2 linked regions of the Saccharomyces cerevisiae S288C genome follow. Each later gene encodes a partner of the first gene's protein in a complex. Each region holds a gene or a part of one and is shown on either strand. Other genes may lie near its edges. The genes, in order: CDC14 and SWI6. A codon is read from its position in the direction of its gene.

What was found.
Region 2: the proteins of CDC14 (region 1) and SWI6 are in contact, whole or in part, in a crystal structure (PDB 5XW5), measured with the Saccharomyces cerevisiae proteins. Residues at the interface, in NP_116684.3 of Saccharomyces cerevisiae: Phe47 (codon at 1,678), Ala130 (codon at 1,927), Gly131 (codon at 1,930), Tyr132 (codon at 1,933), Ser133 (codon at 1,936), Glu171 (codon at 2,050), Val173 (codon at 2,056), Asp177 (codon at 2,068), Asp253 (codon at 2,296), Gly254 (codon at 2,299), Lys284 (codon at 2,389), Ala285 (codon at 2,392), Gly286 (codon at 2,395), Leu287 (codon at 2,398), Gly288 (codon at 2,401), Arg289 (codon at 2,404), Arg317 (codon at 2,488), Val322 (codon at 2,503); in NP_013283.1 of Saccharomyces cerevisiae: Glu157 (codon at 2,341), Leu158 (codon at 2,344), Gly159 (codon at 2,347), Ser160 (codon at 2,350), Pro161 (codon at 2,353), Leu162 (codon at 2,356), Lys163 (codon at 2,359).

What each region holds. Positions count from the first base shown.
Region 1 is NC_001138.5:207,913-211,607, reverse strand, and holds CDC14 (phosphoprotein phosphatase CDC14), read left to right. Parts: upstream 1-1,539; coding exon 1,540-3,195; downstream 3,196-3,695. Other genes in the region: PTR3 (Ptr3p), read right to left, coding at 1-671; ECO1 (Eco1p), read right to left, coding at 3,311-3,695. UniProt on the Saccharomyces cerevisiae protein: Protein phosphatase which antagonizes mitotic cyclin-dependent kinase CDC28, the inactivation of which is essential for exit from mitosis. To access its substrates, is released from nucleolar sequestration during mitosis.
Region 2 is NC_001144.5:516,068-521,150, forward strand, and holds SWI6 (transcriptional regulator SWI6), read left to right. Parts: upstream 1-1,872; coding exon 1,873-4,284; downstream 4,285-5,083. Other genes in the region: methionine adenosyltransferase SAM1, read left to right, coding at 1-343; VTA1 (Vta1p), read right to left, coding at 611-1,603; TOS4 (Tos4p), read right to left, coding at 4,476-5,083. UniProt on the Saccharomyces cerevisiae protein: Part of a complex involved in cell-cycle-dependent transcription. SWI4 and SWI6 are required for formation of the cell-cycle box factor-DNA complex. The repeated element in the upstream region of HO (5'-CACGAAAA-3') is called the cell cycle box (CCB).

The sequences.
Region 1 (3,695 bases):
AGGATTTTCCAGTTCGCGTGGTCGTCATAGTTGGGCTCGAGTAAGCTGCTTGAGTAATTCTCCTTAGTGGTGTGTTCTTCTTGATCACGGGTGGTGCCAGTCGTGAGTGGGTGGTCCGACCCTACCTCTGTATTCGCATTATGCATCTTCGAAGCCACAATATGGAAGAGTTCGAGCAGTGATGATTTCTCCTTAACTGTAGGGTCTGATAGTGTCTTGTTATCAGCTTCTAGCCCAGCAGTGGAGGAAGAGCGCGATGGCGTTAGCGATAGTGATGATGATGATGGTGAAGTCTTTACTATAGCGGGGAGCTCATCGCTTTCGCTTTCGCCCTGTCCGGTAGTACTTCTGAAGAAGTCAATCTGACGAGCCAAATCTCGCAGCGGCTTGATGGCTGAAAGTAGTCGAACATTTTCTCGCTGACAGATGGGACACGCAGTTTGCTTGTTCGAAGTTTCCCTGCATAAATCATTGAATAGCGATTCAGATATACAGCAGCCACACGTAAGCACAGAGCAGTCTTTGACTATACCGTATTGCACATGTGATTCGTCAGTACCAGTTGCACCATCGAGTGATAGCCGTTGCGGTAGATAGAGGTCGTGTTCTATATCGTCGAGCACCCTCGCTATATCCGTCTGGCGGCCCCACTTTTGTCTATGAGAGTGCATGAACGCCTATCAGTTGTGTATTTCGTACCTATGTATGTGTGAGTGTGCGTGTGCTAAATTTTACGGGTATCTTTTCAGTGCTGATAAGGTAATCATTGATGACTACTGTAATGGTAATGTTAATAAGACGAATAACTCCTCCGCTTGAAAAAGGTGTGAAAATCAAAAGTGCGCCTCATGAAATAATGATAAAGGAATCTTTATATAGCAAAGTAATCAACAAAAACGACTCTCGGTAGCCAAGTTGGTTTAAGGCGCAAGACTGTAATTTACCACTACGAAATCTTGAGATCGGGCGTTCGACTCGCCCCCGGGAGATATTTTTTTCTGAAATTTTTTTGGCTTTATTTTTTCATTAATACACCTGTGTTAGTTATGATTGCCACTAGCTTATATACGTGACTTCTGTGACTTCTGTGACTACTGATGTGTTTTTAGTAGAATACAACTGTTTTTTTCTGTAATGCGTTTTCACATATTGGCACCAGAAAGTGTCGTTACTTTATAAAGCAAGCGACTAGAACAACAATCACACACACACACACACACACACACACACACACACACACACACACACACACACACACACACAAGCTATGAGCCTGATAACGTGAGTCATTCGTTTTTTAGCCGATAGTAGAGATATGCATTTGAAGGCCATTGCTATTGTGTCAATCAAGAAAGCTGTATCACTTTCAACGGGGAATGTACTTTTAGCACCATAAGTTTTTCTTCACTTGGTTCAAAGGTAAACAAATTGAAATTGAAACAATAATGTACCAAATATTTCCGATTCGTTCGAGGTATAATACGAAACAATTGCACAGAGGCTGGGACTACAAAGTACGCTTATAAAAAAAAAAAAAAAATGCGTAGGAGTGTATACCTCGACAACACGATCGAGTTCCTGCGAGGCAGAGTATATCTCGGTGCATATGATTACACGCCGGAAGATACTGATGAGCTGGTGTTTTTTACCGTGGAGGACGCAATCTTTTACAACAGTTTCCATTTGGATTTCGGTCCCATGAACATTGGACATCTATATCGTTTTGCCGTTATTTTCCATGAAATCTTGAATGACCCAGAAAATGCCAATAAAGCCGTTGTTTTCTATTCATCTGCATCGACCAGACAACGTGCTAACGCCGCATGTATGCTTTGCTGTTATATGATCCTCGTTCAGGCATGGACTCCGCATCAAGTGCTTCAGCCGTTGGCGCAAGTAGACCCTCCCTTCATGCCATTTAGAGATGCCGGTTATTCTAATGCGGATTTCGAAATCACAATTCAAGATGTGGTTTATGGCGTTTGGAGGGCTAAGGAAAAAGGCCTTATTGATTTGCATTCCTTCAATTTGGAGAGTTACGAGAAATACGAACACGTGGAGTTTGGAGACTTCAATGTACTCACCCCAGATTTTATTGCATTTGCGTCACCACAAGAGGACCATCCAAAGGGCTATCTCGCTACCAAATCTTCACATTTGAACCAGCCGTTTAAGTCAGTTCTGAATTTTTTCGCCAACAATAACGTCCAATTAGTGGTAAGGTTGAATTCTCATTTATATAATAAAAAGCATTTTGAAGACATTGGCATTCAACATTTGGATCTAATTTTCGAAGATGGTACATGTCCTGATCTTTCCATTGTAAAAAACTTTGTTGGTGCTGCTGAAACGATAATTAAAAGGGGAGGTAAAATTGCTGTGCACTGTAAGGCTGGGCTAGGTAGAACTGGTTGTTTAATTGGTGCTCACTTAATATACACGTATGGATTTACCGCTAACGAGTGTATTGGCTTCTTAAGGTTTATAAGGCCGGGAATGGTCGTTGGCCCTCAACAGCATTGGTTATATTTACACCAGAATGATTTTAGAGAATGGAAGTACACAACCAGAATTTCTTTGAAGCCTAGTGAGGCCATTGGCGGCTTATATCCCTTAATAAGTTTAGAAGAATACCGCTTACAAAAAAAGAAACTTAAAGACGACAAGAGGGTTGCGCAAAATAACATTGAAGGTGAATTAAGAGATTTAACCATGACGCCGCCATCCAACGGTCATGGGGCGCTTAGTGCCAGAAATTCGAGCCAACCTTCTACGGCGAATAATGGAAGTAATTCATTCAAGAGCTCAGCCGTCCCACAGACTTCGCCTGGTCAGCCGAGAAAGGGCCAAAACGGTTCTAATACTATAGAAGATATCAACAATAATCGTAATCCAACTTCCCATGCGAATAGGAAGGTAGTAATAGAAAGCAACAACTCAGATGACGAATCCATGCAGGATACCAACGGCACAAGTAATCATTATCCCAAAGTTTCGCGCAAGAAAAATGATATCTCCTCTGCTTCATCGTCCCGAATGGAAGATAACGAACCCAGCGCAACGAACATCAATAATGCCGCAGATGATACCATACTAAGACAACTATTGCCCAAGAATAGGAGAGTAACGTCAGGGAGAAGGACTACAAGCGCCGCCGGTGGTATAAGAAAAATAAGTGGCTCCATCAAGAAATAATTTATTTCATTTTTATATATATATATATCATATAATAAAAAAACTTACTAATAATAACCTTGAAAAGTTTTATGCCATTTTTCCAGTGTCCCTTCTCGCTGTCTTTTCGAAAGAGTCATATGTATACCGGCAATAGTAACTTGCCTGATTTATGCATAATGCCGTTGTATTTGCTAGCCAGTTTTCCACCGCTGTCTGTGGGTTGCGACCATGCTACCTGGTACCTAGGAATAACTTCACCGTAAACAATATTTTCTCTTGCAACGTCAATCAATTTGGTTGCGATACCCAACTTCCTTGCTGTCCTGCACACCCAAATTCTCGATATGCCAATCTTAAAATCGGGGTACACATTCTGTACCAATCTTCTAGAATCATAAACCATCCAACGTCCACGACTAGATGTTTTACCATTGCCCCCATAAAGGTTCTCTATAATTATTATTCCGACCGCCCTGTCATTTCTTATGTATACAAACGCTTTGCCTTTTTCTTCTGTG
Region 2 (5,083 bases), on another chromosome or scaffold:
CTCCGGTAAGGACTACTCTAAGGTTGATCGTTCTGCCGCTTATGCCGCTAGATGGGTTGCCAAGTCCCTAGTTGCCGCTGGTTTATGTAAGAGAGTTCAAGTTCAATTTTCTTATGCCATCGGTATTGCGGAACCATTGTCCTTGCACGTTGACACCTATGGTACTGCGACCAAGTCTGACGAAGAAATTATCGACATTATCAGCAAGAACTTTGACTTGAGACCTGGTGTATTGGTCAAGGAGTTGGACTTAGCTAGACCAATCTACTTGCCAACCGCTTCTTATGGCCATTTCACAAACCAAGAATACCCATGGGAAAAGCCTAAGACTTTGAAGTTCTAAGCTTTTTTCCTTTTGGACTTTTTTCTGCCTTCAACCTCCCATGTTTTCATTTGCTCAACACAAGTCAACATGTACATTATACCGTATTTGATGCAGGGACGCAATACCATCATATTCTTGATATAGACTCATTTTTCTCAAATCAAATTTGTATCGATTTCATTTTGCATTATACAGGATTCCTTTTCCTTTCTAACATTTAATACGTAACTACTAATATTAATATATACCTCCTTCAACGGATCAACAAACCAAACTTTATCTTATTCAAATAGAATTTAACAGATCCAACGCCTTAGTTAACTCATCTTTGGCGGTGGGCAGGTCTTCATAATTCAATGCGCTTATGGCGTATTTGGCAAGTTTTTGAATTTGCTCTATTTTACTGGCCCTGTCCATAATTTTTGTCAACTCATCCTTTGTATACGATTTATGCTCTGCTGCAGCAGGTTCTGATGGTGCAGAAGGGCGCGTAAGATCCACTTCTTTCTTCACAACTTGTTGTTCGTCTTTTGTTATTGCATCTTCGTTCTTGTCGACGGTCTGTTCTTCTTCGTTTACGCTATCGGCATCATCAATAAATTCAGGTACCTCATCCACAGGCTCGTATGATGTTGTTTGGTCTTTTGGGGCTAGGCCTTCGACTTTATCATTATTATTGTTTTCCAAATCGCTTGTCTGGTGATCAACATCTTCATCCTTAATCTCCTCGCTATCATCCGCAAAATCTGCATAATCTAACGTTTTCTCGTCGCTGGAACCAATTTCACCCTTTGCCAATTTACTCAAATAAATTTTGCAATACTTAATTCGTTTTTGTAATGAATTTGTACTCGTTTCACTTATATTTTCCTTCCACAGGTGTAAAATGCATGAAAATAAATCAATACAACACCAAAGTGATCTTTTTAACATAACATCCCAGGGACCATCTTTTAGCTGTTTCAGTTTCTCGTTATACAACGACATTGTAAAATTTAGCATATAAATTTTGGCTTTTTCTTGATCATGTATTAGCGTGTTCATAACGTGTAAGCTTTTGTCACTGTCTTCTGCTTCACTCTCGCCGCCAATCTCCTTCTTAAACGCTTCAATAGTATCAAGAAGTTCTGTCGCTAGTGCGGTCATCTCTTGCGACCGATCTTCTTCACTCAGTATCAATTCCACCGCATATAACTGAAGATAGTATCCGATGATCCCTAACCCAACTTTGTCAAAATCCTTCGCTGTAGCGACAACCCTTGCAGCGTTACTAGCCATAGAATTTATTTAAAATGTGGACAATTAGTTTCTAAAAATTGAATCAAATAAAATAAGAAAGCTTATTGTTCCTTTTTTTGTCTTCATCTGGACCGTTTGGATAAGATCATTCACCAAATCTTAGTTTTTTTTTTTAGTTTCCTTCTCCAACGATTTCATAATAATAAAAAAAAACAACAAAAAACACGATTGAGAAACATCAATATGAACTAAGCAATAGCTAAAAAAAAAAGAATAATAAAGGGGAACACAGTATAATTCTCGAGAGGATGGCGTTGGAAGAAGTGGTACGATACTTAGGACCTCACAATGAGATCCCTTTGACACTCACTAGAGACTCGGAGACTGGCCATTTCCTCCTGAAACATTTTCTGCCCATTTTGCAGCAATATCATGACACGGGGAATATTAACGAGACCAACCCCGATAGTTTCCCCACTGATGAGGAAAGAAATAAATTACTGGCACATTATGGAATTGCTGTAAATACAGACGACCGAGGTGAGTTATGGATAGAGCTGGAAAAATGTTTACAATTATTAAACATGCTAAATTTATTCGGTTTGTTCCAGGATGCATTCGAATTTGAGGAGCCTGAAACAGATCAGGATGAAGAAGATCCCAGCCATTCGAAACTACCAGAAAACAAGACCAAAAGTGAAAATTCTAAGGATAATATCAGCTCAAAGAGGATTAATAATTTACAAGATATGAGCCTGGATTCTGATGCACACAGAGAATTAGGCTCTCCTTTAAAAAAACTAAAAATAGATACCTCTGTAATAGATGCTGAGAGTGACTCCACTCCGAATACTGCCAGAGGCAAGCCTAACGATGATATTAATAAGGGCCCTAGCGGCGACAATGAAAATAATGGCACTGATGACAATGACAGAACCGCTGGACCTATCATAACATTCACTCATGACCTAACTTCTGACTTTTTAAGCAGTCCACTGAAAATCATGAAAGCACTACCTTCTCCAGTTGTAAATGATAATGAACAGAAGATGAAACTAGAGGCATTCTTACAACGGTTGTTATTTCCAGAAATTCAAGAAATGCCTACATCCCTTAATAATGACAGCAGTAATAGAAATTCAGAAGGGGGGAGCTCAAACCAACAACAACAGCACGTATCATTTGATAGCCTTTTGCAAGAGGTAAACGACGCTTTTCCTAATACTCAATTAAATCTTAATATTCCTGTAGATGAGCATGGAAACACACCATTACATTGGCTGACTTCAATAGCAAACCTGGAATTAGTGAAACACCTGGTTAAGCATGGTTCAAACAGATTATATGGTGATAATATGGGGGAGTCATGCCTAGTGAAAGCTGTCAAATCAGTAAATAATTACGACTCTGGTACTTTTGAGGCACTTCTAGATTATTTATATCCATGTTTAATTTTGGAAGACTCAATGAATAGAACAATTTTGCACCATATCATTATTACGTCTGGTATGACTGGCTGTTCAGCAGCTGCGAAATATTATTTAGATATTTTAATGGGATGGATTGTCAAGAAACAAAATAGACCCATTCAAAGTGGTACTAACGAAAAAGAAAGCAAACCGAATGACAAAAATGGGGAAAGAAAGGACTCTATACTAGAAAATTTGGACCTGAAATGGATAATAGCAAACATGCTCAATGCGCAGGACTCTAATGGCGATACTTGCTTGAACATTGCAGCAAGATTGGGAAACATTTCAATAGTAGACGCTTTATTAGATTACGGTGCTGACCCATTTATTGCAAACAAATCAGGGTTGAGACCCGTGGATTTTGGGGCAGGTACTTCAAAATTACAAAATACGAACGGCGGTGACGAAAACTCGAAGATGGTCTCTAAGGGTGATTACGACGGTCAAAAAAATGGAAAGGCCAAAAAAATAAGGTCTCAACTGTTGAAAAACCCACCTGAAACAACTTCGTTAATTAATGATGTCCAAAATTTACTGAATTCAATCTCGAAAGATTATGAGAATGAAACAGTGCAATATAATGAGAAATTAGAAAAACTACACAAGGAATTGAACGAACAGCGAGAAGAATTAGCTAATTCTAGAGAACAACTAGCAAATGTGAAGCAATTGAAAGATGAATACTCACTAATGCAAGAGCAATTGACCAATTTAAAAGCAGGAATTGAAGAAGAAGAGGAAAGTTTTAGGGAAGAGAGCAAAAAGCTAGGAATAATTGCAGATGAAAGTTCAGGTATTGATTGGGACTCTAGCGAATATGATGCAGATGAACCCTTCAAAGTAGAGTTCCTTTCAGATTTCTTGGAGGATAAATTACAAAAGAATTATGAAGGCGATATTTCCAAACTATTAGAAGCGGAGTCGAAAGAGCAGATAATGGAACAGATACGAAATCAACTTCCCGCAGAAAAAATCCAATCGATGCTTCCACCAACGGTCTTATTGAAGGCAAGAATAAATGCATACAAGCGGAATGATAAACACCTAACCAATGTATTGGATACAATCAGCACCAAACAATCAGAATTAGAGAATAAATTTAGAAGAGTGTTATCTTTATGTTTGAAAATCGACGAAAATAAAGTTGACAATATGCTTGATGGTTTGTTACAGGCCATATCTTCTGAAGACCCACAAGACATTGACACTGACGAAATGCAAGATTTTTTAAAAAAGCATGCTTCATGAGGGCATGTGATTTCATTGCATTAACTTTTATGACTTTATTTGAAGTTATTTTTTTGTTTTAGCGCTTTATTTACTTTTATTTTACTACATAACTGTATTCTTACAAAATTTTTACGTACTCAGATGGGATATATAGGCACTTGATGTTTTATTTTCTTGTTCTTATCATATATCCGATGGAATAAAATGTTCTATTTTGCTGGCTTTTTCCAAAAATATTGTTTATGTGTCCTTCTACAAGATCTTAAGCCTGTCCTTCCACCTTTTAATGAACTCACCAAGTTTCTTCTCTCGTAATCATCATCGTTTTCTAAATCGTAGAAATACTCTTCGTCCAATGGTTTGCCGGCGGCGTCCTTACCATGACGGTAAATGACACCGACACATTTCGCGTCGCTCAAAATCGAACGTAATTCATCTCTTGAAAGCTCAGAAATTTGTGAGTTCACCTGCTGTAATTGGAATAATGGCGTCTGCTGGACGTTTGCAAAAGCTAGGTGATTGGTTAAAATATGCTGTAGATGCATAACATCAATATTTCTTCTAGATAGCTCATCCAAATTCTCTTTCACCGATTTTTTTGGCTTTGAAGGTAAGACCCTCTTGTTAAGTTTTGGTTTCTTCATAGTCATAGGATTTTTATCAGATGATAGTGAATCTTGTCTCAGGGTTTGTTCCTCGTGATCAACAGAGGAGACGGATGAAAGTGGGGACGATTTAGAATTTAGGAAGTGGTTTAGCATCCTTTCTGCAACGCCAGAATCACTACCAATTGAGATTTTGTTGCTATCCTTAAGTA